Regions from separate parts of the Mus musculus genome. Here regions 1, 2, 3, 5, 6 and 7 are each reported to be linked to region 4. The links are microRNA targets in miRTarBase. Many come from high-throughput screens and were not tested one by one. Region 4 holds a microRNA gene; each other region holds the end of a gene's coding sequence. Distances are from middle to middle.
What was found. The annotated mature microRNA mmu-miR-297a-5p reads AUGUAUGUGUGCAUGUGCAUGU and lies in region 4 at 2,044-2,065, opposite strand. An mRNA with a match to its seed (bases 2 to 7 or 8) in the 3' UTR can be bound and repressed. Matches are read on the target gene's strand: a 7mer-m8 pairs with bases 2 to 8, a 7mer-A1 pairs with bases 2 to 7 and ends in A, and an 8mer does both.

Region 1: miRTarBase lists Capn2 as a target of mmu-miR-297a-5p. The part of its 3' UTR that is shown has no 7-base or 8-base seed match.
Region 2: miRTarBase lists Etv3 as a target of mmu-miR-297a-5p. Seed matches in the 3' UTR shown: 7mer-m8 at 3,127-3,133.
Region 3: the mRNA of Klhdc10 is a reported target of mmu-miR-297a-5p. The part of its 3' UTR that is shown has no 7-base or 8-base seed match.
Region 5: the mRNA of B3gnt2 is a reported target of mmu-miR-297a-5p. Seed matches in the 3' UTR shown: 7mer-m8 at 834-840, 7mer-m8 at 838-844 and 7mer-A1 at 1,500-1,506.
Region 6: miRTarBase lists Vps39 as a target of mmu-miR-297a-5p. Seed matches in the 3' UTR shown: 7mer-m8 at 1,443-1,449.
Region 7: miRTarBase lists Elovl2 as a target of mmu-miR-297a-5p. Seed matches in the 3' UTR shown: 7mer-m8 at 2,704-2,710 and 7mer-m8 at 2,192-2,198.

Annotation. Positions count from the first base shown.
Region 1 is chr1:182,464,598-182,468,665 of GRCm38, forward strand. It overlaps Capn2 (calpain 2), which reads right to left. Exons shown (of 21, transcript NM_009794.4): 21 at 2,656-3,638. The coding sequence ends at 3,615. Among named protein-coding and RNA genes, the nearest start is that of Capn2, 51 kb to the right of the region's middle.
Region 2 is chr3:87,536,048-87,540,115 of GRCm38, reverse strand. Etv3 (ets variant 3) reads right to left here. Exons shown (of 5, transcript NM_001083318.2): 5 at 1-4,068. The coding sequence ends at 3,464. Among named protein-coding and RNA genes, the nearest start is that of Etv3l, 12 kb to the left of the region's middle.
Region 3 is chr6:30,450,378-30,454,441 of GRCm38, forward strand. Klhdc10 (kelch domain containing 10) reads left to right here. Exons shown (of 10, transcript NM_029742.3): 10 at 110-4,064. The coding sequence ends at 319. Among named protein-coding and RNA genes, the nearest start is that of 1700012C14Rik, 8.6 kb to the right of the region's middle.
Region 4 is chr2:10,515,074-10,519,141 of GRCm38, reverse strand. Mir297a-4 (microRNA 297a-4) reads right to left here and starts at 2,075; the gene lies at 1,978-2,075. All of the region lies in intron 10 of Sfmbt2 (Scm-like with four mbt domains 2), which reads right to left. Mir297a-3 (microRNA 297a-3) reads right to left here and starts at 3,322; the gene lies at 3,221-3,322. It overlaps Mir466l (microRNA 466l), which reads right to left and starts at 3,045; the gene lies at 2,925-3,045. It also overlaps Mir669i and Mir669h.
Region 5 is chr11:22,832,468-22,836,535 of GRCm38, reverse strand. It overlaps B3gnt2 (UDP-GlcNAc:betaGal beta-1,3-N-acetylglucosaminyltransferase 2), which reads left to right. Exons shown (of 2, transcript NM_016888.5): 2 at 1-1,797. The coding sequence ends at 543. Among named protein-coding and RNA genes, the nearest start is that of B3gnt2, 25 kb to the left of the region's middle.
Region 6 is chr2:120,314,223-120,318,290 of GRCm38, reverse strand. Vps39 (VPS39 HOPS complex subunit) reads left to right here. Exons shown (of 25, transcript NM_178851.4): 25 at 182-1,830. The coding sequence ends at 257. Among named protein-coding and RNA genes, the nearest start is that of Pla2g4f, 2.1 kb to the right of the region's middle.
Region 7 is chr13:41,181,704-41,185,771 of GRCm38, forward strand. Elovl2 (elongation of very long chain fatty acids (FEN1/Elo2, SUR4/Elo3, yeast)-like 2) reads right to left here. Exons shown (of 8, transcript NM_019423.2): 8 at 679-3,704. The coding sequence ends at 3,591. Among named protein-coding and RNA genes, the nearest start is that of Elovl2, 37 kb to the right of the region's middle.

The sequences.
Region 1 (4,068 bases), not on the chromosome of region 4:
CTTAGATGCAGCTTCTGTCTAGGACTAATTCTTTTTTTTTTTTTTCTTTTTCTTTTTTTAAGGTTCCTAAGTAGCAGCTTTTTATTCACACCCCTAAGTTGTGTATAGCAACATTAATCCTCTGCAGTACAATTCTACAACTCCTTGTCCACCCACACTAGAGATGTATTTGGGATTCACAGATGTTCAAACTAATCACATAGACCTCATATATGCAAACCATCTTAAACAATGCCTATGAGACTTTAACAGGAATTACACAATGAAGGCATCGATTCTGGCCAGATTTTACATAACAATCGACTCAACAGAAATAATCTCTGGTACTCAGTGTTTTCTAAGACCTCAGAATTGTGGGTTGTCAATCTGTCTTCAAATCATGATGAAAATAAGCCACAAGTGGTTGTTACAACAGAACTCAGTCTAATACTTTCTCTCCTTTTAATACTACTTGAGTACATATAATTTATTTCATTTGTAATTTCACTCCAAATTTTACATACAAAGCAGGAAGTCTTGTGTAGAGTAGGCAGTGGACACTGGAGAGACACTGTTGGGTATGTTTTGTAGTCTCGTTTTTAGATTTTTTTTTTTTTTGCATAGCTGAGAGCCTGCTGGAAACAATTCTGTATTCTGTTGCTTGCTTGCTATTGTGTGTTAGGATTCAATGGCTATATCAAACTCATAATTTATCCAACAGTTTAACTGTTCTTTAGTTCTGTGTGTGTGTGCTAGCCAGTCTAACAGCAGGATTTATAGGTGCTTTTTGTTTTTACAAAAGGGAGAAGGAAGCCTTGTGCAGTGGGCCATGCTAAGGAGGAGAGTGTAAACTTTAGGTGAAGTCTTGGCTGGAGGTGGTGTCATGTGACTGGAGTCACAGTTGACAAAAGCAAGGGACAGGAGGAAACTAGGGGAATGTGGACTCAGGTCAGAGGAAGAACTGAGTGGAATGAAAGGCAGCAGAGCCTGGCAGGGGTGGGCGGTGGGGGCCTGGAGGCTGGAGGTGTACCTAGGAGCACCCATGACAGATAACTTGGACCGTAGCCACATGAGAAGACTGATAGGCTGTTAATTAGCTAGACGGTACCAGGTGGAGAAGCGATTTGGGGAACAAAGAAGTGAATCTAGCTAGGACAGTTTAGAATCCCTGGTGCCGGGGAAGGACGGGTCAGGATGGGGCAGGAGTGTGATTGTGATGCTGTTGAGGAGAAGCTATGAGAAGAAAAACTGAAGAGATGAGTGTGTCCGGTCCACAGAAGAGCTAAGGCAGGTGTGGGCTAGCAATTCAGGGCAGAGGTTTACAGGAGTGGTGGTGAGATGCAGGCCAGAACAGTTCCCATGGGATCAAAAAGGATGGGAGTCTATCTCCTCCCTGTAAAATGAGCACCGACCGGTTTTTGGTTTTAGGCTTACTTATTTTTATTTGGTGTGTATTGTTGTTTTGCCTGCTTATATGCTTGTGCACCACATGCATGCAGTGCCCATGGAGGTCAGAAGAGGGCATCGGATCTACTGGAACTGGAGTCACAGCAGGTTGTGAGCTGCCATGAGATGCAGGGAACTGAACCCTGTCCTCATTGCAACAAAGCAAAGTTGGCATCAGGGAGAGCGACAGATGGGCTGGCTACATGCTGCCAGCTAGTGATGTCAAGAGTAGCCTCTGCCACTTGGGAGGGGCCAGCTCACACCTCACCCAAGACCACCCTCCTCTCAGCTTCTTACAGCAGGACCCCTGCCCTCACTCCCACCCAGGTCTAGAACTGCTGCCCTTATTGGAATAACCACCCTCTCCCTGCTAGGTCTCCTAACCTCAGACTTCAAACATTCTATCACCTTCCTCCATCCAATCCCATCTTCAGTCCTTCACCAACACTACTCTGGTCACCCATACTCCCAAGACAACCCATTCCCCCCTATTCTGAAACCCCTCAGTGTTGAACAGAGAAAGCTCAATCCAGTGACCCGAGTTAGTTCCATACACACTCTCCCAACTTCTTAACCTTCCCAGCCCACCTTTAGCTGTGTTGGAGAAACCCATCTACTACTTGAAATGGTGCTATAATTCCCCAACTGTGGAGGTGGAGGCAGGAGGATCAGGAGTTCAAGGCCAATGTTAGTTACATAGGTCCAGATCTGTCTGGACTATATGCAATCCTGTTATATATCCTCTACCCCTAGGAGGTGAGGATCTGCCCACAAAACTGTCCATGAAATAGTGGGTAGCACTTTCCCATCATGCTGCCTTCTTTCTTCCCTTCCCATTTTGTGATTCTTCAAGGATCACCAGCGACAGGTCTAGCCCTAGACTAGTGATTTACTATGTGGGTTTCTCAGCTCCCACAATGGCCCCCCATCCCCATGGGAGCAGGCCTAAGCTCTGGAGCCAGCAATGATATAGGGGGTTTCCCCAAAACCGTCCTAAACCAGACCAAGCAGGTGGAATTAGGATTGTCCTTTCTGCCAGAGTGACCAGAACTTCTGAACTAGAGTTTTAAAAATGTTGTACAGTTCCATAGTTTAATTATAGGCAAGATGCCTTCTCAGTGTCTGAACCTTCAGAGCAGCAGACCTCACGTAAGTAGAACCCAGCTGTTACCTGTGTGCTCCTCAGCCCTCCCATGGGGGCCATGCTCTATGAAGAAAAACAAGGCATGGTGCGACTGTGTTGTAACTCTTTATTAACAGTACGTTTGGAAGTAGATAAGGCAATATGTCTGTATGGTTGCTAGCATTTTCCCAGGATGAAGAAGCCAGCTTGGTTGTTTTAAGAAGATCTTCTGAGCCCTGTCCTCCCCAGCTGTAGGCACAGTCCCTGGGGTTTATCACGATCTTCTTGCAGACGGCACACCTGGCTCAGTTGGTCAGAGTGATCTCATTACTTACTACTTGTCAGACCTAAGTGTCTAAGGCCAAATATGGTCAAGGACTTGAGTTTAAGAATGCTAAAGGTATATAAAAACCATCTTCTGTTAGAACCAAATGATGGAAGCAAGCATGCCCTTTTTTTAAATTGGCATTTATTTTCTGAGATCGGGTCTTGCTAGGCAGCCCAGGTTGGCCTTGTGTCAGACACTCCTGGCTCCTGGATTCTTTAGATGCCTCCATCAGACTGGGTTCTTTAGATGCCTCCATCAGACTACTTCGTCATTGTATTTCTCAGTTCGCTCAGGGCAAGCGGCAGTCTCTGGGCTGCTGTGGCAGGTGCCACCACTGCATTTAAAAGTTAAAATTTCTTCAAATATTCCCATCAAGGCCTTGTAGCCTCTGAGATTGGTTTACTATTTGCCCAGTTATTTAAAGCTCTCTGCATTCCTTCCTGATTTAATATTGCTATGGCCAGGACAATGTGTAGAAGTAAAAAGGATATACTATTTACAGGTGTAACGCTTCCTCTGACCTTACCAAGGGTTATGCAATTCATTTGCATTTGGTTTAATAATATGCAAATATGTTACTCTGATATGTGAAAAGTTCATCTATCCCAGACGGTTATATTCTTCAGTTATAATCATCCGATGAAGTCAATGTTCCCGTAAGTTCAAGGTCCAGATACAAAGTGTCTAAGTGTAGTCATTGGCTGTTTTCTTCCACTAGACCTCTCCAGGCATGTAACTTCAGAGTACTGAAAAACTCAGCCACTGTGAAAAAAAGAAGAAGAAACAAAACACTCATTCAGGGAGCGTTGTTAAAATGAAAGACCTTATAGGTGGCTTTGAGTTATTCTGGAGATGGCTGAACCTACCTTCTGGAGTCTCGTCTTAGAAGTTTGATAATTTGTGTGATTTGAACTGGTGGTTGTTGTAGTATTGAATACATGAAGGGTGACATTCAAATAACATGTGAACCAGTTTCACACACTTCTGCCTCAATACACCACATCAGAGGTTTGGAGGTGGGGGTGGTGACGCATACCTTGAGTTATAGGGAGGCAGAGGCAGGCAGATTACTGTGAATTTGAGGCTAGCCTGGTTTACATAGAGAATTCTGGGATAGCCAGGGCTACATAGTAAGAACCTGTCTCAAAAAAAAAAAAAGGGTTTGTGATATGGACATCCAAACCCTCTGCTT
Region 2 (4,068 bases), not on the chromosome of region 4:
ATACTTTTTTTCTTTCGACTTCCATAACAAAATACAGAGCTATCAGATACCCCTGGAAAAAATATGTATATTATACATATATTTCTATAACATTACATCATATATATAATATATATGCAAAAAATTTGAAGACTTTAGAAAGCAGAACATCTAAAAGGCACTGCACAATGGTGTTCAGGTTCCTTATAGTTTATGTACATATACACATCTTATTCTGCTTACACAGATGCTTAGTGAAGTCATCTTCACATGTGAACGTCTCATTCATAAATCCCTGCATCACAAGTTTATAATTCAAAGAATGCCTAAATATTTTGAAACAAATTAACGCATAACTTTTTCTAAGAAGGAACTAATTAGAAGAGTTCTTTGAAGACTGAAGTTTTCTCTAAAGCCACATAAAAACATAGGCCTCACCACTACTGTTCACACAAGAAAAAGCACAAACATAATTATGGAATAAATAAAAAAACAAGGGACAAACAGCTAAATGACTATCCACTTGGTAGTGGAATATAACTTTTTTTTTTTTAATGCTTCTGGAAGTTTCTTGGCCTATGGGTCACTAGGGTTCCCTGCATTCCCGAGCTGGGGTTAGAAGTGCAGCCTGATGTCTAGGAAGACCCGCGAGCACAGCAGAGCTGATGCCCCGAGAGTCTGCTACTCTTTACAGCTAAAAAAGCAAACTGTTTAAATAAACAAGCTCTTGATTAGTGAGATTGCAATAGATTTACACCTACAAAGTTTTACACATTTGGCACAACAAAATTTAGAGGGAAGAAAAAACCCAGGGAGAGGAAGTAGGCCCGGCTTTTAGCCCCCTTTCGCCTGGCTGATGGTCAATGGCGTGCTCGTAGAAAGAAGGTGACACCAGGCTGGAGGCAGGAACTGCCAGGCTGGGGCTGGGGAGAGACGAGCACTCTCACTCCTCTGCCCCAGGAAGTATCAGTGATCACTACATTTCCTGGTCCACTTCCTGAGCGAGCCCAAGTTCTGCTCTGCAGACAGACCCTTCCCCAGATCCAGACTCCAACTGTGTGCAGTGCCAATCAACCAAGAGATTACTGGTGGAATGGCAATCAAGGGAAACAAACGGCAAATAGTTTCATAAAAGTCCAAAAGCATTTTTCATGGAGTTCACTTTCAAGTGTAAAAGCAGTGGCTTTATTCAAATGGAAGCAGCATCTAGAATGAATTCCGGCACTTGGGTTCTAGGGGTTTCAGGTATGCATCATGGATTTCCTGCCCTCATTTTAAAGGCCCCACGCTTCTATTCCTGAGTTCATACTGATGCTCGCTGGCCGTCCCCACTAGCAGACAACCGGTGGCCAGCTGGCCTCCCTGGTTTGATGGGCAACACCAACCAGAGAGCCTTCCTCTACCTGCTGGGCCTGCTTTCTGATTCAGAGGTCCGTCAAGGTGCAGAGAAGGAAACTGATCAAAACACAACCACCAAAGGCAACAGGAGGGTTGAAGTCCTTCGTGGCCCGACCAGAGCCTGGGTCACCAGAGACCACTCGGCCCCCTTCCTGGCCTTTCACACATGCGTGGAATCTGGACCAAGTTATAGGACACTCATCAAGAAACAGCAATGACAGCCTCAAGTGATCCACGTCAGCTCACACCTTTCACCAGGTCTAATGTCTCCTGAGCTCCTTTTGTGCATGCATTTCAGTTAAAGAAAATAAAACCAAACTAAACCAAACCCAAACACTCCATCAGAAGACAACACTCAAATGTCACTTAGTATGGAGTTCTTGGCCAGGCTCAGGTGGCGGACGGAGTGAGTCATCACTCTGATGCCCGAGTGCCATCCCTTGCCTCAGCAGATAGGAAACCATTTCTTCTTGCTGCTCTGAGCTACTAGAGCACACACGTGCACAGAGGCCGTTGGCTGGTGCCGCTTTCTCTCTACCCTAGTGCTAGTGTTTTGTTTCACCTAAGATCAGTATCTTCCCATTCCTTTGAAGTTGCTGTAAGGGGATTTCCCAAGGACAAATGACCCCTGTTGGTGAACTGCATTTTGGGAACAGTCGACCGATCAGAACAATCTGGGCAACGGGGGACCACAAGGCGGGCAACACCACCGCAGGCAACACCGCTCTCTCCTTTACACCAGACCTTTTGGCATCTGGTCACCACCTTCCTACCTCTTCCTTCAGTTTCGACAAGCAGTACATTGAGTTTGCAGGTTATCATCTGCCTTTCATTCCCACAATTCTGCCCTTTTGCCACCCGGACCGGCAACATCAGAGGGAATAACTATCAGCTAGGAATTCGACTGTGCCTCAACATTCCTGGGTTATCTGAACAGCGTCCATGCCCTTCACAGGTTTATGTTGACAGACCCGTATCATCTTAAAGCATGTTCGTAGTTAAGGCTCGACTTAAGAAAACAGTAAGACAACCAGACACAACAGAAAAACATCTTCAACGGCGCTATCCTGCTCCTCATAAAACGTGCTCAGTCACGCTTGGTTTGGGAAACCAAACCAACAATGGAAAAAGAAAAAGAAAAAGAAAATGAAGACTATTTCTGTCATTTGTTTTGTTTTTAAAGGCATTGGGTTACTTCCTCCTGCCCTCTTCTTTCTTCCCTGATCAAGAGTTTACAACTCCTCATGGCTTTTTGAAGGTGAAGAAGGTGAGAGTTTGAGGACCTCGCAGCCAGGCTGCCTTCCCACCTCAACTCTGAAGCTGAGGGGCCGGGGGTGGGGGGTCTCCGGTGCCCTCCCTGCCCAGTATAACTGGCAGTACACTCATGTGTCTTGAAAACATTTTCTAAAAAGGGGGGAGGGGAGCCAAATGTGCGTGTGTCACCCTCCCCCCAGGGAGAGAAAGAGAGAGTGCATGCATGGGAGAGAGCATGTGTGTGTCTCTGTGTGTGTGCACACACACACATAGACACACACATCACACACACACACACTCCAGTGAGGGAGAAGGGGGAGAGGGGAGTAGAGAACCCCATCTAAATGCCCCCCACTTCGGTAAGACTGCGATGAACTTTTTCCTCTCCTGAAACACATACTCAGGTACATGGTTAGTATGTTTCTCACGCCTAACCTTCCAGCCTCTTCCTCTTCTCTCTCCCTCTCAAAGCAAACTATCCCACTATGGGCTTTCTGTATGTATAAACACAATAGGAAAGACTATAGGGCCTGACCTGTGATGGGACTACAGTGTATGGGCCTATGGAGCTTGTCAGGCAGCAGGAGGGGACAGGAAACAGGCTCCTTCCCCAAAGTTCATAGCCTCCCTATGTCCTACGCGCCAAGAAAAAAAAGTGTCCATACCCCACTTATTTATACAACACAAGATCCTCGTCCCATCCCCAACAGAAAAGTACAAGTCCACGCCCCAGAATTATCAAACCAGCTGAACCCCACCTCCCGCCCCAGAATCTTGCTACATAAATATGTATTTTGATTGTAATATGAACAGCTTCCCTTCCACTGTGGTTTTAAGCATCAGCGGCAGCAGTGGCCGTTGTGGCCAGGCCCTGGGGTCCTGCCCCATTCCAGAGGAACTTGCCCGTTTTGTTGAGCTCCCTGGCTTCAGGGTCGTCATTCCACCGCCTCTTCAGCCGAAGCTTAGGGGGCATCAGGGCGTCTTCTTTCTTCTCGGGTACACCGGGCTCCCTGACAGACCTGTCCTCACTGTCTTCGGTCCCCTCTAGGGGTTCGTCACTGGGAGTGCTAATGGACACAGAGGGCCAGGTGGGTGAGGGGTGGGCAAACCCGGTGCCTTTCCCCTCTTCTATGGTCCTGCTCCGCATGCTGTCCACTTCTTGGGTCTGTTCCTCCTTTCCCTGGGTTGACTGCCGGAGGCTGTCAGGATCCTTCTCTGTGGCCGGCTCTACCTTAATCCGAGAGGGAACAGGAGCGCTGGCGGGCACAGAGCCGCGAACAGCCTCCTCCCGGCTCTCTACCCTCTCGCGGTTCTTCCGTCCAGCCGGCGGGGGCTGCAGCTTGATGGAGAACTGGGAAGGCTCCTCAGGATGCATTTGGCACTGCAGCGGTGGGACCATGAGCCCTGGGTAACGGGGGAAAGTCCGGGGACTCAGAT
Region 3 (4,064 bases), not on the chromosome of region 4:
TTCGTATGTCCAGCCTGTGGGCTGGTTTTGTTTCCGTTGCTGAGTCTGCCTTGGTCACTCTTGCTCTGGTGTTTGACTTTGTCGTCTTCTCACTGCCATTTGTTCACAGGCTGGTTGCATGTACATCCACGGAGGAGTGGTGAACATCCATGAAAACAAACGGACTGGGTCGCTGTTTAAGATCTGGCTGGTGGTACCTAGCCTGCTGGAACTGGCATGGGAGAAGCTGCTCGCGGCCTTCCCCAACCTAGCAAACCTCTCCCGAACACAGCTCCTGCACCTTGGACTCACACAGGAACTCATCGAGCGTTTGAAATGAAGATTTCTGGACTGTTCATTGATACTGGAAATGTTAATTTAAAGAGACTCCTTTATTTATGGGCAGTGTAGAATGTGCTACAAAGAGGATTGGCTACCCTGATCAAGGCCTTATTCAGAAAATACATCAGATGCCTTTTTGTGAATGGGTTTAGTTTATGGACATTTCACTTTCTCATGTGCTTTCTTCTTTGCTCCCCTCCCTCCTGCCCCTCATAATGCACCCCACACTTATGCACTCCCTCTTTCTTGATGGAGTTGAGGGAATGTCTGAAAGTCCCTTAATAATGTTAAGAATCAAGAGAGAGAAATTGTTGCCTTTTTTTTTTAATTCTGAGCATATTGACCATGTCAACTAACACTACAGATTAAAATATCATCAACAAACACAAAGCTTAAAAAGCCAGCAACAACAACTCTTGGTCTGGGAGATAGAGCGAGAACACTAGTCTTGGTAGCCTAGCAGGTTGTTCTTAAGTCTGGATGTTGAGTTAGTGTTTCTGAGATGTGCGGAGTGGCTGGACTCAACGGTGCTTCATGACTTGCTGTAAAAATGCCTGACCTTGACACTAGCAGGCAGCTCAGTGACGTCTGATTAGCGATCCCTTCAATCCTGTAACGCTCCGGTGGTTAGCGTTGGCCTGCCAATGTTTAGTGTGTCTGTCATCATCACCCTCTGTTGTTGTCTCTCAAATTAAATGTATATGGCATCAAGTTCTTTCCAGGCAGTTCTGAACTTCCCTTGTGCTTATTAATGGCTTTAAATATGTCTTTGACTTCTTGGTGGGGGATTGTAGACTCTTAAGTGTGTGATGTAAATGTCTACGGACAGTAGATAGAGCACAGCACCCGCACCCTTCAGGCTTAACTGTCTTACCTTCTGCTTGGGGTGCTGGCTTTGACTAGCATAGCAGCTGCTGCTTTTTTAGAACTTGTTTCTCTTTAAGTCTCTGGACCATGTCCCTGCGTTTTCTTAAACTGTTGGTTCTTGATTGCCTCCTGAGCTTGTTGCCTCCTTTGCTGTCCGCTTCTGTGTTCACGATGCTGTGGTTGCCTAGTGACTGGAGGAAGGTCTTAAGGGAAAAGGTACAGGGTCTCCTTCTCAAGAAGCAGGGGTCATTGGAGAGCCAGCAGGAGGAAGGGGTGAGACAGGGTGATTCGCTTCTGTTGGTGAGAGATTTTGTTTCCTCCTTTCTGGAGAGAAAAGTAACGTACGTTTTTACTCCTTTTGTCCTCAGGCAGCTAGAAGAGCTGAGGAGTGACTTGTGTAAGCCTATGGGTGTCCATAGGTGCAGTCAGGATGCTAGAGGCCTGCAGGAGGGTGCAGCCAGTCCCCCCTGCAGGCTCCTTGCAGAGGAGACATGTAGGAGATTTCAAACACATTTTTCCTTTAAGTGCCTCTTTTCCACCTAGCTTTAATATTATTCATTTTCTTTTAGCCCAAAAGAGATCTCTTTAGTTGATATGAAATAAAAGTCACCTTTGAGTTACAGTAAAAAAACGTTCCTGCCCGGTGTGCAGTCTTAGAGAGGTCTCCTCCCTTTGGCTCCCAACAGGCCTTATGCTCCATCCGTGTGGGTTAAGTTAGTGGAGCCTTTGCTCTGTGGTCCTGAGTGAAGCCCTTATCTCTGAGTGAGGGGATGGACCTGCGTTTCTGGGGTCTTAACCCCCAGCTCTGGCCACTTCCTGTTGGTGTGGCTTTTACTTCCTGCCACCGATAGGCGCACTCCTCATAAGACCCCTCTCCAGAGCAAGTCAGCCTGAGCCACTGTGTGCTCAAAACTGTGACTCTGGGCCAGGTCTCCTGGACACATGGTGGAAGTGTATCCCAAACTAAATAAGCCATGTTTTCTAGGGTGACAGAAGGATATTTGTCATTGGTTTATATAGGGACCAAAGGCAATGTTCAGCCTCTGTGCTTTGACTCCCATGGTCCTTGGACAACTGAGGCTGACTCTGGTTCTGTTACACTAGAAAGCTGTAGAAAGGGGGCTGATTCAAGCCAACACTTGTTGGCATCCTTTTTAAGCCAGTTGAAGGCAGTCTCTTTGAGATGGATGTTGGAGGCCTGACATCAACGACCTTCTGTATCTTAGAAGTGCATGTTGGGTCTAAAGTGTCTTTGAATAGAACACTAGCGAAAGTGGTGCAGGAAGCAGCTGAATGCCGCAGCCACTCACGCACATGTTCTGGATGCCAAATGACTGTGGAGAAGGACTTAAAGGAAGGTGACTGGATCCTCTCTAAGGGTCACCAGCATTTTGGTTTCTCTATAACCAGCACTCGGGATTCCCAGTGGCATCACCTGGTGTGGGAAGGTTGTGATGCCTGCTGCCCCCCTGCCTTTTTGAGGTGCGCCCAGACATCTTCCTGCAGTCCTGGAAGTAGAAGTGCAATATGTAGAAACATATGGTCTGTACAGATTATGTAGAATCGACGAGTGTAAAGCAGTGACACCACTCTTTGTACCTGTCTTGGGCAAGTCAACTTATTACCTTAGAGTAGAATTATGCCAAGAACTTTTAGTGTGATCATAAGCCAACTTCTTGGTAAAGCTGGATTTCTTTCAGGTCCATGTTTTCTTATTCTAGTTATAAAAAAAAAGGTCTGTTCCTCAGTTTGCTAGGAGCTGAGGGTTTCCCATCCCTGTTTGTACTGCCTCCCATTTGCATGTCTTGCCCAGGAATAAGGAAGTCCACTTGAAAGTGTTGCCCAGGTAGAGAATTGAAACCTAATGTTAATACAGCCCCCCCCCCCATATACGCTAACTTATCTGGGAATGTAATACCTTATTAAATGATGTTTTCTTTACGATAAGGTATTTTCCACTTTACAGAAAACTGCAAACCAGTATATAATAGATTGAAACTTTACCTGCTTTTCAGGACAAACAAAACCCTTCCTTCCCACTGGCAGAAATCATCTTTCAGGGCCTAATGATTTGATATAAAAGCTTGCTTTATAGCATTCATGTCCAGTACAGAGCTAGATTTTAAAATTATATATATGATGAAAATATTAACATTTCTAGATTAAAAGTATGACTGATCTTTCGTTATCCACTGTAGCAAGGTGAAAGCACACACAATCGAAATCCATAGATAATCAGTGTTTAGCCTTCTCCTTCAAACAGTTGATTTACATATCTTGTCCCTTCCTGTCCTTCTTCCACACACATCCCCTTTTCAAGGGACGAGAAGTCAGAGAAGGAAAAGAAGCTCAAAGAAGGGCCAGCAGCTAGCCAGGCCAGGCTCCCAGTTAACTTAGACACTGGTAGGAAAATGACCACCGGTGGGAACCTTGAGCACAGCCTGCTGCTGAGTTCTCTGCTGCTTCCTGACCAGAGAGAACTCTTAGTTCCTGTGGGATGAACAGGCTGTGTTGAACAGAAACAGAAACCCCACTGTCTGAGCACATTTCCTGGCTCTTGGCAAAGCTTGCTTTTTTGTTTCCTCCTTTGGAGTCACCTTCTGCAGTCTGATGTCCTGGTGTGCAGCAAGGGTGCTCTGTCCTCTCGGACTGTGTTGGTTTTGTCCCCTGTAAAAGCAGTTTGCTGTTCTGTGGTCTTAGTGATGCTTAGAGAGTGGCCCTCCCACCAACACTCTGACGTAGCACAAAAAGCCATTTTCCTTTTTGTTTTCTGTTGTTTCCTGGTGTTGGGCTTCAGGGTGAATGCAGGAGGATTTATTGTTACAGCCACGCTTTTCAAGAGCTGGTTACCATAGGTGTAAATTCCATTGGTCCCC
Region 4 (4,068 bases):
TTCGTACAACAATTAAAGCACTTCTCTGTGTAAAAGCAAGCACAGCATTCTAGTTTGAATTATGTTAGGAGACAAAGATATCACCAAAAATAGACTCTAATATCATATAAATATCAAGTGTTGACAGGGAAAAACAACACTTTAAAAAAATTCTTAAAGAATTATTAAATAAGCAAAAGGATTCTTAGTTTTTAACGACCAGAAATGTTTTCAATATTAAGAGCAACCCAGCTTTACCTCTTAACCCCATTCAATTAAAAGTGACCTTTTTCATAGAGAATGAAAGAGAAGACAGCTATTAATGAGGGAGGTATTCCAGTCTCCCGAGCCAGATGAACGATAAATTTTAAATTAAGATATATTGCAATCTGAAAACTCAAAGAAAATCATCAGGTGTACGAAAAACCAAAAGAATCACACCATAGCCTGCCTGTGTGCTGAGTTCCAGAGATCCAACTCAGGCTGTCAGGTTTCCACAGAAGCCATTTTCACCTGGAGGGAGAACTAGCCCTGGATCCGTTCTGCATAAGCTCTAAAGCTCTGAGTCACATCTCATTCAAATAGATCGATCAGAGCCACTAATGTGCGTGTAGGTGAATGCCAGTGTGTGTGTTTATGTATATGTATGTGAACATTCATATACATACATTTACATGCACACATAAGTATGAACCCATGCACATACATGGGGGAGGGCATCACATGAATCGCATGCTGATCTCTAACTCATCATGAAGTGAAACATGAATTTGAACTCCAGGACCTCCTGACGCTGGCAAGAGTATTCACCTCCTAACTGAGACATAGCTCTGGCCCAGTACTGCATAAGCTCTAAAGCTCTGAGTCACATACCATTCAAAAGGATAAACGAGTGTCATTCCTGTGTGTGAGTGTGTGTGTGTGTGCATGTGTGTATATGCATATTCATATAGAGAAATGAATATGCACTCAACTATACACCCATGCATATTTTTGGTGGGCATCACATGAATGCCAGGATGATCACAAACTTATCAGGAAGTTAAGCATGAATTTAAATTCCTGATCCTTCTAACTCTGGCAAGTGGTTTTCACCTGGTGAGTTAGATGTAACACTGACCCATAATTATACACTCTATAAAACTCTAAGCACATATAAATCAAACAGATCTATGACTGCCATTCTTATGTGTATATGTATGTGTGTGTGTATGTTCATATACATGCATGTACAAGCACACTTACCTACACATATATACACATACACAAGGACAATCAAATGAATTCCAGGCTGATCTCTAACTCATCATGAAGTTAAACATGAATTTGAACTCCGTATCCTCCTGACTCTGGAAAGAGTATCCACCTCCTAACTGAGGCATAGCTCTGGCCCAGTACTGCATAAGCTCTAAAGCTCTGAGTCACATATCATTCAAAAGGATATATGACTGTCATTCCTGTATGTGAGTTTGTATGCATGTGTGTATATGCATAGTCATATAGAGAAATGAATATGCACACAACTATACACACATGCACATTATTGGTGGGCATCACATGAATGCCAGGATGATCTCTAACTCATCAGGAAGTTAAACATAAATTAGACCTCCTGATCCTCCTGACTCTGGCAAGAATACTCACCTCCTAACTGAGACATAGCTCTGGTCCGTTACTGGATAAACTCTAAAGCTCTAAGTCACATACCATTCAAAAGGATATATGAGTGCCATTCCTGTGTGTGCTTGCGTGTATATGCATATTCATATAGAGAAATGAATATGCACACAACTATACACCCATGCACATTTTTGGTGGGCATCACACGAATCGCATCTGATCTCTAACTCATTATGAAGTTAAGCATGAATTCGAATTCCTGATCCTCCTGACTCTGGAAGGATTATTCACCCGGTGAGTGAGATCACGCACTGGCCCAGTCATACAGAACCTCTAAGACTAAGTCACATATCATTCAAATGGATCCATGAGTGGCGATTTTGCGTGTATTTGTGTGCATGCTTGTATGGGTATGTGTGTATGTATATGTATACTCATATACACACATGCACATGCACACATACATATACACACAGGCACATACACTGGGGGGGGGGGGCGCCATCACATGAATCTGAAGCTGATCCCTACCTAATCATGAATTTGAGAATGAATTTCCACTCCTGATCCTCCTGACTCTGGCAAGCATTTTCACCTTGTGAGTGAGAGCACCCACTGATCCAGCCCTGCATAATCTCTCAAACTCTAAGTCACATACCTTTAAGGCCTGACTCTGGCAAGCACTTTGACCTGTTGAGTAAGAGCATGCACGGGCACAGTACTGCATAATCTTTAAAACTCTTAGTCACATATTATGCAAGTAGATGAATGCAAGTCACCATGTGTTTGTGTGTGTGTTGCATGTGTGTGTGTGTCTGCACATGCATATCCATATACATTCATGAACATGCACACACATGTAAGCACACGTGCACATACATGGGTGGCATCAAATGAATACCAGGATGATCTCTAAATGGAGTTTGAACTCCTGATCCTCCTGACTTTGTCAATCATTTACACCTGGTGATTGAGACCATTCACTGTCCCTCTACTGCATAATCTCTAAAACTCTAAGTCATATATCATTCAAATGGATCGATGAGTACCATTCCTATGTTTGTGTGTTTCTGTGCTTGCATTTATACATGTGTGGATGTTATATATATTCATATACACACATGCACACACAACTATACACACGTTCACATGCATGGGGGGAATCACATAAATCACAGGCTGATCTCTAAGTCCTCATGAGTGTAAGCATGCATTTAAGCTCCTGATAGACCTGACTCTGGCAGTTGTCTACACCTGATGAGTGAGAACACTCACTGTCCCCGTACTGCATAATCTCTCACCTCTAAGTCACATGTTATTCAAATGGATCTAAGAGTGCCATTAATGTGTGCGTGTGCATGCATGAATATGTGTGCATGTATTTATATGTATATCAATATATATATACATGTACATGTACACACAAACACACATGCACATACATAGGGGTCATCACATGAATGCCAGGTTGATCTCTACCTCATCATGCAGTGAACATGAATTTGCACTCCTGATCATCCTGGCTCTGGCAAGGGGCGTCACCTGGTGAGTGAGACCTCTCTGTGGCCCAGTCATACAGAATCTCTAAGACTCACATATCATTGAAATGGATCGATGAGTGTCAATTTTCTGTGTGTTTGTGTGCATGTTTGTATGGGTATGTGTGTATGTATATGTATATTCATATACACACATGCACATGCACACATACATATACACACAGGCACATACACTGGGGGCATCACTAGAATCCGAAGCTGATCCTGGACTCATGAATTTGAGAATGAATTTCCACTCCTGATCCTCCTGACTCTGGCAAGCATTTTCACCTTGTGAGTGAGAGCACCCACTGATCCAGCCCTGCATAATCTCTAAAACTTTAAGTCACATGTCATTTAAAAGTATCAATGAGTGCCATTCGGGGTATGTGTGTGTGTGTGTGTGTGTGTGTGTGTATGTGTGTGTGTGTGTGTGTGTGTGTGTGTGTGTGCCTGTGTGTATGTGTTTGTGTGTATTTATATGTATATTCATATGCACACATACATTAGCACACAAAACTATGCAACATGAACATACACTGGGAAGGAACCCATAAAGCCAGGCTGATCTCTAAGCCATTTTGAAGTTATTCATAAATTTGAACTCCTAATCCTTCTGAATATGGGAAGCTTTTTCACATTGTGAGTAAAAAGTTTCATTAGCCCAATACTACATAATCTTTAAAGCTCTATGTCACACATCATTCAAATGTATCAATGAATGCCATTCCATGTTTGTGTGCTTGCATTTACATGTATGTTTATGGTATGTATATTTATATACACACATGTGCATACACAGGGACGTAAACACACATGCACATACACGGGTGGCATCACATGAATACCAGGATGATGTCCAGCTGAAGTTAAGCATGAATTTGAACTCCCGACCCTGCTCAATCTGTAATATGTTTGCACATGGCGAGTG
Region 5 (4,068 bases), not on the chromosome of region 4:
TTCAACCTGTCCCTGAAGGAAGTGCTGTTTCTTAGGTGGGTGAGCACTTCCTGTCCAGACGCAGAGTTTGTCTTCAAGGGCGATGATGACGTGTTTGTGAACACCCATCACATCCTTAATTACTTGAATAGCTTATCCAAGAGCAAAGCCAAAGACTTGTTCATAGGTGACGTGATCCACAATGCTGGGCCTCACCGGGATAAGAAACTGAAGTACTACATCCCAGAAGTCTTCTACACCGGCGTCTACCCACCGTATGCCGGGGGTGGTGGATTCCTGTACTCCGGCCCCCTTGCCTTGAGGCTGTACAGTGCGACTAGCCGGGTCCATCTCTACCCTATTGATGATGTTTATACGGGAATGTGCCTTCAGAAACTGGGCCTTGTTCCAGAGAAGCACAAAGGCTTCAGGACATTTGATATTGAAGAGAAAAATAAGAAAAATATTTGTTCCTATATAGACCTAATGTTAGTACATAGCAGAAAACCTCAAGAGATGATTGATATCTGGTCTCAGTTGCAAAGTCCTAATTTAAAATGCTGAAATAGACATGAGCTGCATTTCACAGAAAGGCCTAGCCTGACTAGTTCCCATGGTGTGCTCTCACAATAGGTGAGTTCTGTGTGAGGCTATTAGCCTTCATGAGCAGGTAGCCCCTGGGCTCCCAAGCCCTCAGTCCTTCCCTTGCCTTGTGAAGAGGGAAGGCTGAAGACAGCTCAGCATGGCAGGGTGAGTGGTTATGACCCTTCCTCTGGCTGCCGGTCCTCAGTTTCTAATTTGTTTTCTTTCTCCTCCACAATTATGTATGTATGTGTGTATATATGTGTGTGTGTACATACATACATATATATATATGTAGGACACAACCTGGTGGCTTTGTGAAATGGAATTCTATGTATTTTCATAAGATTTTGAAAGTTGTCTAGAAAGTAGACTGATGTCAATCTCCCGTCACCCAGCAGTATTGTCCTTGTTACTAGAAACCGTTACTTCCTTTATGCAAGGAAAGCCACGCAGTGCGTGTAGTTCATCTTGTCAGGGCTTATGGCCATGAGGACAGAGGGGATTTTCTTTTTACTTGTGTTTGGTTTCCTGGGTGGCATCATGGTAGTTAACCTATTTTTAGTATTTGAAGATCATGAGTGTGATTCCCTAATGGCCAACTGGAGACTGAGTAGCCCGACAGCCATGGGTCTGTGAGTGTTCAGAGACTGGGAAGCATTCGCCACTTCTGAGCTTTGGACGTGATTAGTCAGTTAAAACCCCAAGATTCTATTCTTGCCATATTATCACGTATTCCTTAGATAAAATTCTGGGTAGTGACACTTCCCTGTCTCAGTGTAGAAGTGCCTGTGCTTTTATTTATTGTTCAGATCAAACACCAAAACATTTTCTTAAAAAATATTTTGTGTAATATTTTATTTGTATACAGTGTTTGTGAAATATTTAACTAGAGCATGATATTTTATTTTTTCTCATTTTTAATTCTTTGAGAATTTCATACAATGTGTTTTGATTGTATTCACCTCCCCATCTCCTCCCAGATCCAGCATGATGTTTTAAATGTTAAGCTGTAACATGTTAGATAAAGTTAACTCTTATTTTTGAATTTTAAAATTTGGATGGGGGGGTATGAACTGCTAGAGAAAATAAAGTTCTGCCAAAATATTGCATATACTAGTATCTTGTAACATGCTTTCTTGAAATATTTTTGTGCTTTAGAGGGTTCTCACCTGTGCTACAGGGGACTGGGAAAAAGTGGAAATAAAGTGATTGTATTTTTTAATCATCACGTATAATAAGTGATACTCTTTCTGTTCTTGTTTCCCTGTGTTTCATGACATTCTCCCTGGGCTATCTTTCCCAGAAACCATTACAGTCATCATTATATTAACAGTCTGTGTCCGTGGGTTAGCCATCACTGCATCTGTAGTCTTAAAAGCACTTCCCACCTATGTGTGTCTTCCTGAGAGCTGTGCCATCTGGTTTTTTTTGTTTCTGTTTTTGATTTGAGGGGGTCTCTATGGGGTCCTGGCTGTCCTGGGGCTCAGTATGTTGACCAATCTGGCCTGGAATTCCTAGAGCTGCTCCTCCCTCTACCTCCATTGTGATGATGGAATTGAAGACATGCATTCCAGCTATAAAGCACCTGGACCCCCACATCCCAAGCGTCTGCAAGAAGGACCCAGGCATTTCCAACCACGGGTTGCACTTCTTTCTCGACCTGTCAACTAATATACACCTTCATGCCCTTCCTCCAAGGCCTCCCTGAGATCGACCAAACCATTTTACTGACTTGACCCAGACCAAGAAACCCTGGTGTGCAGCACCCATGTCTGCTGCCTGTCTTTATGAAAGGTATACAAAGTAGAAACTCCTATTCTGTCCTTGGATTGCATTGTTTGAGAACATGATCTAAGGTGGCTAGGAGTGTGTGAAGGCAGCTGCCTGCTGGGACTGGGGATCTGCTCAGAACCCCGGAGGAGGTGCTGAGTGCATATGGTTTGTGTCTGAAGCCCAAGGGAGCTGTCTTTTTCTAAGACTGCTTTAGAGATGGTATACTTTCTTACAAAGTTTGTACACTAGCTCTAAAACAAACAGGCTTCAGGGTAACACTGCCACTCTCACTACACATCTACCACAGAAGAAAAATGTTGGTTGAACCATGACAGGTTTTTTTAATTTGATATTACTTTGTGGCTTAAGGTGACTCTAAAGTGTTACCCCACCCCCAACTCGCTGCTTCAGTTTCTCAGATGCTGAGGTTACCAGGTTGTGGCGCCATGCCTAACTGTGGCCATTTTTCTTTTCCCTTTTTTTGCCTTTTGAAAATGCATTCCAGGACCTGGGGTGTAGATCATTTAGTAGAAAGCTTGCCCGTCATGCACAGAGACCTGGAACCAAACCCCAGGACAACATAAACTTGGATGGGGTGTGGTGACACGGGCCTGTGTCCCGGCACTCTCCAGAGGTGGAGGCAGGGCTATTAGAACATCAAGGATATCCTTGGCTACATAGGAAGTTGCATGCTAGTCCAGGGTACACGAGAACCTGCCCTGGTCACTTCCCGTCCACAAAAAATCCCCAGTGATGTTTTGTTTTCTGGTTGCTTGTGCTACGGGAGTCTGTTGTTTATGAACTCAGTTGAAAATGAATTAGCCCTGTTAGTATTTCATAGTTATTTCAAATTGTGTTGCTGTTATTTTCTTGAGAGGGGATATTAAGTGATCTTGGTATGTTATATGAAGAACACAGTTGTGTAAAAATTCATAACGTCTTAAGTTTTTGTTCTGTATCGTGTGTATGTGGACACACATGGGCCATGACACCAGAAGACAAAGTTATGGAGTCCTCTCCTTTCACCTTTATGTGGCTTCCAGAGTCTGGCTCAGTTTCACCCACTGAGTGACCCTGTTGGCCCCTCAGGAAATGTTTTATATTAAAGGATGTGCACCCCAAGTTCAGCTTCCAAGCGTGAAGGCTGCAGCTGGGTGGATCCCTTTGAGTCTTTTGGGTGTTTTTGTTTTTGTTTTTCATGCTGTGGTTTCTCTGTGTAGCCCTGGCTGTCCTATACAGAACTCACTCTGTGAACCAGGCTGGCCTGGAACTCAGAGATCTGCCTGCCTCTGCCTCCTGAGTGCTGGGATTTAAAGGTGTGTGCCACCACGCCCGGTGAGGATATCTTCCCTTACTGTCTTTGACTAAGCAGGATGGGAGCCCCACAGCTTTGATCTCAAACGTTGGCACTGCTTTCTCTGCTCTGCAACTTGTGCTTCCTTCCCACCCTACAGATTGAACTTAAACAGGAAGGCAGCTGAGCTTTAACACGGCCCAGCCAGGGTGTGTGTGCCATTGTGTGTGTGCAAGTGTGTATGTGTGTGGTTCTGGGATCTGCCTGCACACCAGGAGCTTCTCTGGGAAGGCCACTCTGTGCCTTCCGCCCAACGTTCTCCCTTCCACCAGTGCACTGAGAGAACTCCCAACTCTTAGAGAAACTGGTGGTACCATCTCCATTTAGGCCCAAGCTGGGTGTCCTGGGGGTGTTTTTACTGTGAAGGGAAGCAAATC
Region 6 (4,068 bases), 110 Mb from region 4:
TGCACTGAGGGAGCGACAAAGCTGTTTGCGTGTACTTGGGTGGTGCATAGCTCCTGCTCTGGTCCAGAGGTACTGGAGTAGGCTGCTGTTTGGGTTGGGGGTGGCTTCTGGGGCTGATGCCTCTTGCAGGTGCTGGAGGAGACATAGAACACCACTCACTCTCAGCTGTTCTTCCACACAGTGCATTTGCAAGATACCCCAATGGGGTGGTTGTGCACTACTTCTGCTCCAAAGAGGTAAACTCAGCCGACACCTGAGCCCGGCAGCCCAAGCACTCAGCAGTGGACAGCTCAGCTTTCCCAGAGAGTTGAAGGAGCAGCCACCTTGAGAACCGTGCACTGCTACCAGGGACGATGCTGGCCACCTTGCTCTCTGGAACATCTCCGAATTAACTGGACTTGTGACCTGGCATTGCCGGCTTTTTACTAGAAGAGATTAGTTATATCTTACGCTGTTATGTTGCAGACAATTCCAGGAGTTTAACCCCTGCTTGGACAGGAGGAAATGCACCATCTTGCCTTTGTATACCAATCATCTGGACAAGGAGATTTCATCTCAAGTGTTTGTACCCATGGGGTTGTTGACTGTGAGTTTTCTATTACAATAACTACACAGCTTCACAAGATTCCCCCAGCATGGCGGCCTGGAGAGTCCCATGGGAGCCCAGCACTAGAGCTTGCCAGCCCACTGACCGCAGGCTGTTTATACTGCCAGTGTTTTCTCCAGGAGTCTCCCTGCTTATCCCTTCCGTTTTCAGTCGCCTTTTCTTCCTCACTATTTATTTTACCCCTGGATCTCTTCCCTTGTACCGTCCACGCTTCCCCTCCCACTGTGTAGAGTGGGAGGTAGAGTAACTAATGCTTAAATGTGGCAAATGGGAGGCCCTGATGAGCAGGTGTCATGGACATTGTATGAAGGGTCTCAGGAGCTGAACTTTTCTACTAAGATGTGTAGGAGAACACAAGTCTCTGTAGGTGTAGGCTTTGGTACCTCCCCGGGGCAGCACTGTGCAGGGTGTGTGGTCTAGGCAGGATCTCTCTAGAAGTGCCTGCCTCGGCCACTCACCAGCTGCTTGGACAGGCTGTTGATTGGACAGGCTGTTGAGTCTTTATAGGTGAGCGCTGAGCATCTTCCTCCACTCTAGCCACTTTCTGTCCTGTTGTTTTCCTGGCCATAGTTGTTCCTTGGCCTTTCTTCTGCAAGACTGGAGGATCGAGCTAGGATAGCTTGGTAAAGTATGTCTCACTGCACACAGGGAACAGCTGACCAGAAACCAATAGTGATGAGATGGCGTGCAGGTTTGTGGGGCACTGAGGAATGGCAAAGAGTAATGCAGGAGCAGCTCTGTTGAGTATGTCAGGGAGCCGGCAAGAGGTACGCAGAGCAAGAGGTACACAGCAACTTCTGGCCTTGGAGGCTACAGACACCAGGCACACACATGCACATACATATATGCAGGCCACACACCCATACATAAAGTTTAAAAAAAAACAGTGCTGCCCATGAACCCATCTGCACCACCTTAAAATGTACTTCCTCGGGAGTGGCACTGGGATGCCAGGCCACTCCCCATAGGACAGGACCAGAACTTGTGCCATCATGTGAGTCCTGCCCTTTTACCTGGTAGGCTTGTAGCATCCCTTCTTATGAACTGTGTTTGAAGCAGTAGAATAAAGCCTGTATTTTCTCCTGGGTGGTGTGCATACTTAATTCTGTTTCCCTAAACTCCATCCTTTCTTCCCAGGATCCTGCCCTTCATAGAGGGAACAGGGTAGCTCCAGCCTAAGGATGATGGAGGCTGCTTCTCAATAAACATAAGTGAAAAACCAAGTTTCCTTGAGCCTCCCTCTTCCCTTTCTGAAGACTAAAGGAAATGTAAGGGGATAGTAGCTTAGCTAAGAGAGAAGAATAAGATAAGACAGCTAGTAACTATGAAAAACAGTAAAAATAACACTCCTCTCAAGAGAGTCGGGGGGCTGGCCCAGCTCCTTGCCTGCTGCAGCTAGCCAGAGCAGTGCTAGAGAACTCACACTGGTGGTGTGGGTGCAGGAGAGCTGGTGGGCTGACCAACTCGGCTACCACCCAGGCTCAGATCCAGGGCTTTGAGTTGGCCCAGCCCAACATCTACCCCATCTGTTAACTGCTGGAGCACATAAAAGGGCCAGTCCTGCAGATCCAAAGCTGCATGACCCAGGGCAACAAGAGAATATCCAAGATGCGTCCCACTGAGAATCCAGTATTGATAGTGTAGCAGATCCAGACCAGTGACTCGTTGTAATGAACATTTCCAAGTAAAGACGTGTGGACAAAGGGGTGTACTGTGGGACACACTGATGCACTACTACTTCCACAACAGTATTTTGTTTGTTTGTTTGTTTGTTTGTTTGTTTTCCTTTGAGGGGGAGGTTGCGGGGGCAGAGGGTGGATGTGAAGAGTTGGGGAGTTGAATGGGATTGGAGTACATGTGAAATTCACAAAGAATCAGAAAGTTAAAAAAGAGTAACACTCCTCTCACAAAAGCCTCCATCTGTGGCCAGCACAGCATCTGTGGCTGTGGATGTGTGGCTGATCTCACAAGCACAGAATATTTCCATCATCGCTCTGGGAATCCCAGAATCTAATACACCATTGCTTTGTGCCTCCTGAAGCTCACTATGGCCAGAAGACTCCTGTGAAGATGTGGAATTGGTAAGAGGGAGGGACTCTGTTTGAAAAGTAAAGTTGGCTCACTTTTCCTGGTTCTAAAATGCCAGTTTGGTCCCTCTGTGATACCCTAGCTGTCTGTCTGTGGCTGTCCTGAAGATCTTCTGCCAGTGAAAAGCATCCAGAACTTGAGTTGAGGCATGTCTGTTGAGGCATGGGGAGATGGCTTCCGAGCAGAGAATATGGTTTAAGCCCAAAAGCACTCAGCCAGCTAGAACTCTGCCCCTCCTTACCCAAAGCCCCAGCTTCAGCCTGGGATCCAGGTGCTGAACTATCCATGTTCAGCAAGGGGGCTGGGCTTAGCCATCTCTGAGTCAGATCTCTTTTACAATCTATCTGAGGTGAAGCAGGTCACCACAGTTACGTCACCTCTGGTTCTGGAATTTCTGGTCTGAGCATGGCCTGTTCGTTTGGGAGTTAATTCACCTTTGTGGATGTCATTGCAGCCTCCAGCTGTGGATGTGTGAGGGAGGGAAGGCAGTAGAGATTACCTGGTCGAGATGGGGGTCTTATCTGGTACCTTAAACTGGTCTCACGATGCTGAGTTCAAGTGAGCCTCCTGCCTGTCCTGGGGTTCTGTGTACCACTACCCTTAGCTATATGAAAGGGTTATGGTTAAAGAGATGAAAAGAGTCTCCTAGGAACTTTTGCTAGCCACTGTCCCTGCCTCGCCACCTAGATGACTGTGGTCCACAGGAAAGGACATGACATGCGGTTGCAGCCGGAGCCTCAAAATGGTCATGGACACTTTAAAGCCTTTATCTCTGGCAGTTTAAGGATAGAGAGGCCTGCCTCTCTTCTGTCCTTATTTACAATACCTGGCCATGCCCCCGCCTCTATGCCTGAAGCACCAGGCACTTCTACCAACCCAGGAAAGGAGTCATGAAATGAATCTTTTCAGGGTGTGGGTGGCTTTGGTACAGACATACCATGACCTTTGTGTTAAGGAAATAACTGAGGGAGGCCAAAAGAGACAATAAATGTCAGTGATTCCCCATAAAAACCCGAGCCAGAGATTTCTGTTTCTGCTTAAGAGCTGTGGAGAAAGTGGGACTTGAAGGAGAGATGGTGTGGGGCTTTCTGGCAGCTAGATGAGGTTAGCCCTGATTATAGTACCTCCTGACTTCTGCTAATGGCAGACTAGTTGGAAACAAGAATATCTGGGCTCTTGCCCTACCCATACATGGCAAGGGATGGGAGTGGTGTCTGTTTTTCACAACTAGTTCAGCTAAGCAGGGCCTGAGTTGGAGACCAGAGAGCTAAGCAGGACCCCAAGAGTCTCTTGGAAAGGGAGCAACTTGCCTATTGCCTAGGGAAAGCAGGCTCCACTCATTTCCTGGAGCACTTCAAACCCCTCCTGGAGCA
Region 7 (4,068 bases), not on the chromosome of region 4:
ATCTTCCTGCCTCAGCTTTCTTTGTGCTGGGATTGCAGGGATGGGTCACCCCTCCTTGCCTTTTAGTTTTAAAAACAAAGTTTGAATGAGATTTATCCCAACCACATCTTAAAAATCATGAAGTGAAAAAAGGCTCTTCAAAATGTTCACCCTCTCCCTAAACTCTAGTCCCCACTCATTCCAAGTTCCTTCTGCCCTTCCCTGACCCTGCCTTCCTAACTCCCTTGCCCTTACCATTTCTACCTTGGGATGGAAGCAATTTTAGGTCAGATTTTGAGCATAACTATTGAGGCTACTTCCAGCCTTGGGGTCTTCATTGTGGTGGATCAGTGTAGCCTCTGTGCTGACAAACAGTAGACTGTGGCCCTGCTTCAGCTCCTGAGAAGAAATCGCCGCTGACACTGCAGGTGCCCAGAGTATTGGTAACCAATGTCACTTGTGCTCCCATTGCATAGTGTAGTGTGCTATGGTATAGTTACTGTACTATAATATATATAGTGCATCATGATATATTTTTATTCTTTATAGTAAGTAGTTTCTAATAGTTGTAGCCTCTGCTTATCTGATTGCTATTAATTTTTCCTTCTGAGATAGTTTAACTGGGTATATAAGTATTGCATTAATAATGTTACTTTAACATCCCACTGCTTGTTGAAATGAATTAAGAATCTAAGATTAATCACTAATATATCACTTTATTGGTAAATAATCTCTGAATAATAGGCCACTTGGAATACTGCACAGGCCCACATTTTAGTTTCTTTGAACCAAATAAGAAAAGTTGCAAGATGTTTTAGTGTAAAAATCAATTTATTATACAACAATCACACAGAATGCTTTTCATCTAAAAGAAAAATGGCTTCTGCCTCCCTTTCCACCCGAGTCATGATACTGTGTTCTTCAGATGCCATACTTTCAAAGGAAAAAAAAAAGTCCTCAATTTCCAAAGAAGCGACCTCTACTAACATTCTTAAGTGACACAGGAATGTTTGGAAGGACTAGAAAAGAATGGTCTCTAACATACAAAATGCTATTCTGCCCATTTTGGTTTAAAAAAAAATTCTCTGATGTGGGAAGACAAGAACTTATCCACCAATATGTATAAATATAATTCTGATGGGTTGACATTTTCTATGCTTAATTCATTCAGCAAATATTCCATTTTATTTTAAAAGTTGGGGAAATTAAGGTTTTATAGTATCTAAGTACTTTTGTTCTCATGAATAAAAGGGAATTCACTTGGGAAAAGACGGTTTCCTATCAGATTATAGAGACTTTTTTTTTATACTTCTATTTTAGAAAATTCACACTAAGAATGAATGGGTTAAAAATCTTTCCAGATGGCATTTTCTCAGCACAGATTTCGTAGCTCTGCATGGTGTGTCAGCCCTTGGGTGGCTTAAGGCTTAGTGCTGCGCTGGGCTTTGCACTGGGAGGTCTAAAGCTGGCTGGTACTGTGAGCTGCCACTGTTGATCTGCTATAGGAAGATAACACCCTTTGTGCTACACAGATGTGAGGTCATGAAAACAGCCTAAACTGAAGGTACGATGCACAGCGCGACTTAAACGCCTCTCACTGGCGAGCAGGAATAATCTGGTACAATGGCCAGTGATGCCTCTTGAGTCTCATTTTTACCCAGAATTCATTTTACTAACAGATTTCAGATTGTGTTTGAAAACTAAAGCTGAACTCCAGATTCACCAAGGAGTTTGTTCCTTTGGTCTTGTCATAGAAGGACAGTAACATACTCAAAGCTAACCCTTAAGATGAATTCTTGGGAAAGAAAAACACCAATTTGAGGCTAAGTCACCAGAGATGGTGGTAAGAAAGCACCCGGGAGCAGATCAGTTTGAGAAATTGTTTAGAAAATGCACTGAAGCATAGGTGGTCACCAGACAGGAAGAGTCTGTTCAACAGGAATGACAGACATGGCACAGGACATCGGACTGTGGTGGTTTTCAAAATACACCAGTGAGAAGGGTGGTATAGTTACGAGTTTAAAACATCAGTACAATTTTTAACAGGGAAAAGTTAAAATGGGAGCTTGCCCAGAAAGGAAGACAGGGGTGGGCAGGCCCCGCCGTTGGCACTCGAGGAACACCTACCTGGTGCCCATGCGCTGGGTGCCAGTGCCATGAACCAAGAACACATTTGCTGAAATGGAGGGGAAATAGAGTAAGTTGTGTTTTGTGTATGTTTTGGGAAATGCCCTTTTTCACACCTGGTATAGATTAACAGTGGTGATCCATCAGTTTGAGGAAAAGGAGGTGGTCCATTGCCTTGCTCAGGCTCTGTACTAGGTTCTCCACAGAGACCACAGTTCTGAGCAGGGACAGCATTGCTGCTTGAGCCAGACACATCATTATGGCTTAGTCCCACCCCACGAGATCGTTCCAAATGACTGCTATGCTTTTCTCCTCTCTAACAGTTAAATTTAACTCATGAAGCTTGACAGCAATGGCTTGCAATGGTGTTCACGAGCAGGCTCAGCAACTGCTTGCAATGGTGTTCACCAGCAGGCTCAGCAACTGCTTGCAATGGTGTTCACCAGCAGGCTCAGCAGCAACAGCTGACAAATAGAATGTCTATTTTGCCCCTGGGGCTCTGTTGATTATGATTTGTAAATATTCCAATTGCATTTCTATGCGAAGAAGAACTGCAATTGGACAACTCCAGCCTTTGTTCAGAAAGGGCATGGCAGCTGTATGTAGACACTGGCTTTGGATGTGGGGAACATAACTCCAGAAATCTAGACTAACAAGGGAGGTAGACAGGAATGGATGAGCAAGGATGCCAATTGAAACAGAGACAGCTCTGTTCAAAGCCCCTGAGTTATGATTTGGCAAACACATTTTTCTTTTCTGGTTGAGACAGGGTCTTGTGCCTGTGTACCCTAGGCTGTCTCAATACCCAAATGCTGGACTCACAGATGGGTGCCACCATACCCAGCTCAAGAGGCTGTTCCTTCATGGAATGACTAATCTTCAAACTATATTGAAGACAAACGAATTTCATTACCACATCACTAAGTTGGAAATCAGAGGTGGTTAAAAAAAATGTAGCAGATGAGACTCCTGGCTTGAGAGGGGAAAGGGTTTTGCTGGATTCTGTCTTGCTAAGGATCCCGCTTAAATGCTGCCTGGGGCTGCTGCCTTAAGCAACAGCAGACTAATCGATTTATGCACTGACAGTTATTGCTTGACATAGACTAGAACAGACCCTGACATTTACACTACAATGAACAGTTTTACACATCTAAAGAAAATTAACTCTGAAGACTTGCCATGAAGAAACGAAGCCCGAGTCTCCTGGTTTTCGACGTGAATAAGGCATTACAAAGCGCTCCGGAGAGGGGGCTGTGCACCTGTTCAAGGTTTGTAGAGGTCGGCATGGCTCCAGTTAGTAGAGTAACCTAATAGCAATATATTATAATACATTCTGGGTACAAATGATTTACAAACTCAAAAGGAATTAGTTTATGCTAAAACATACAACTTTCTATTCAGTCTCTGCTTTAAAACAAGCTCGTCTGTTTGCTGCCGCCGCCGCCGCCGCCACCACCTCAGTTTGTGTTCCCCGGCACTTCATTTTATTGAGCCTTCTTGTCCGTCATGCCATTAGCCACAATTAAGTGGGCTTTGGGGAAACCATTCTTCACTTCTTTCTCTTGCAGCTCTTTCTTCACTGGCTTTTTCCGGTATGTCTGTCAGAGTGTAGACAGGAGAAGAAGCAGGGAGGCATTTTAATAAGGCCTTGTCTCTAACTCCCGACATAGCATGTAGTTAAAGTTCTACACAGTTTTCCTTGGCGTTGGACCTTCTAATAAGAATTTGTTCATTTTTAAGCCTCTGCTGCAAAGCTCAGGTAAAAGCCAACACAGACACATGAATGTCAGACAAAGCTACTTCACTTTATCTGAGTGACATCATAATTTGCTAGCGATCAATCTCTTTCATTGGTTGTTCACTTGGAAAAACATAATAACTTCCTTTAAAATTCAGAGTAAAAGGAGCTGCTATTTTATGTTTTTTATTTTGAGATTGCAATTTAATTACATCTTCTGATTC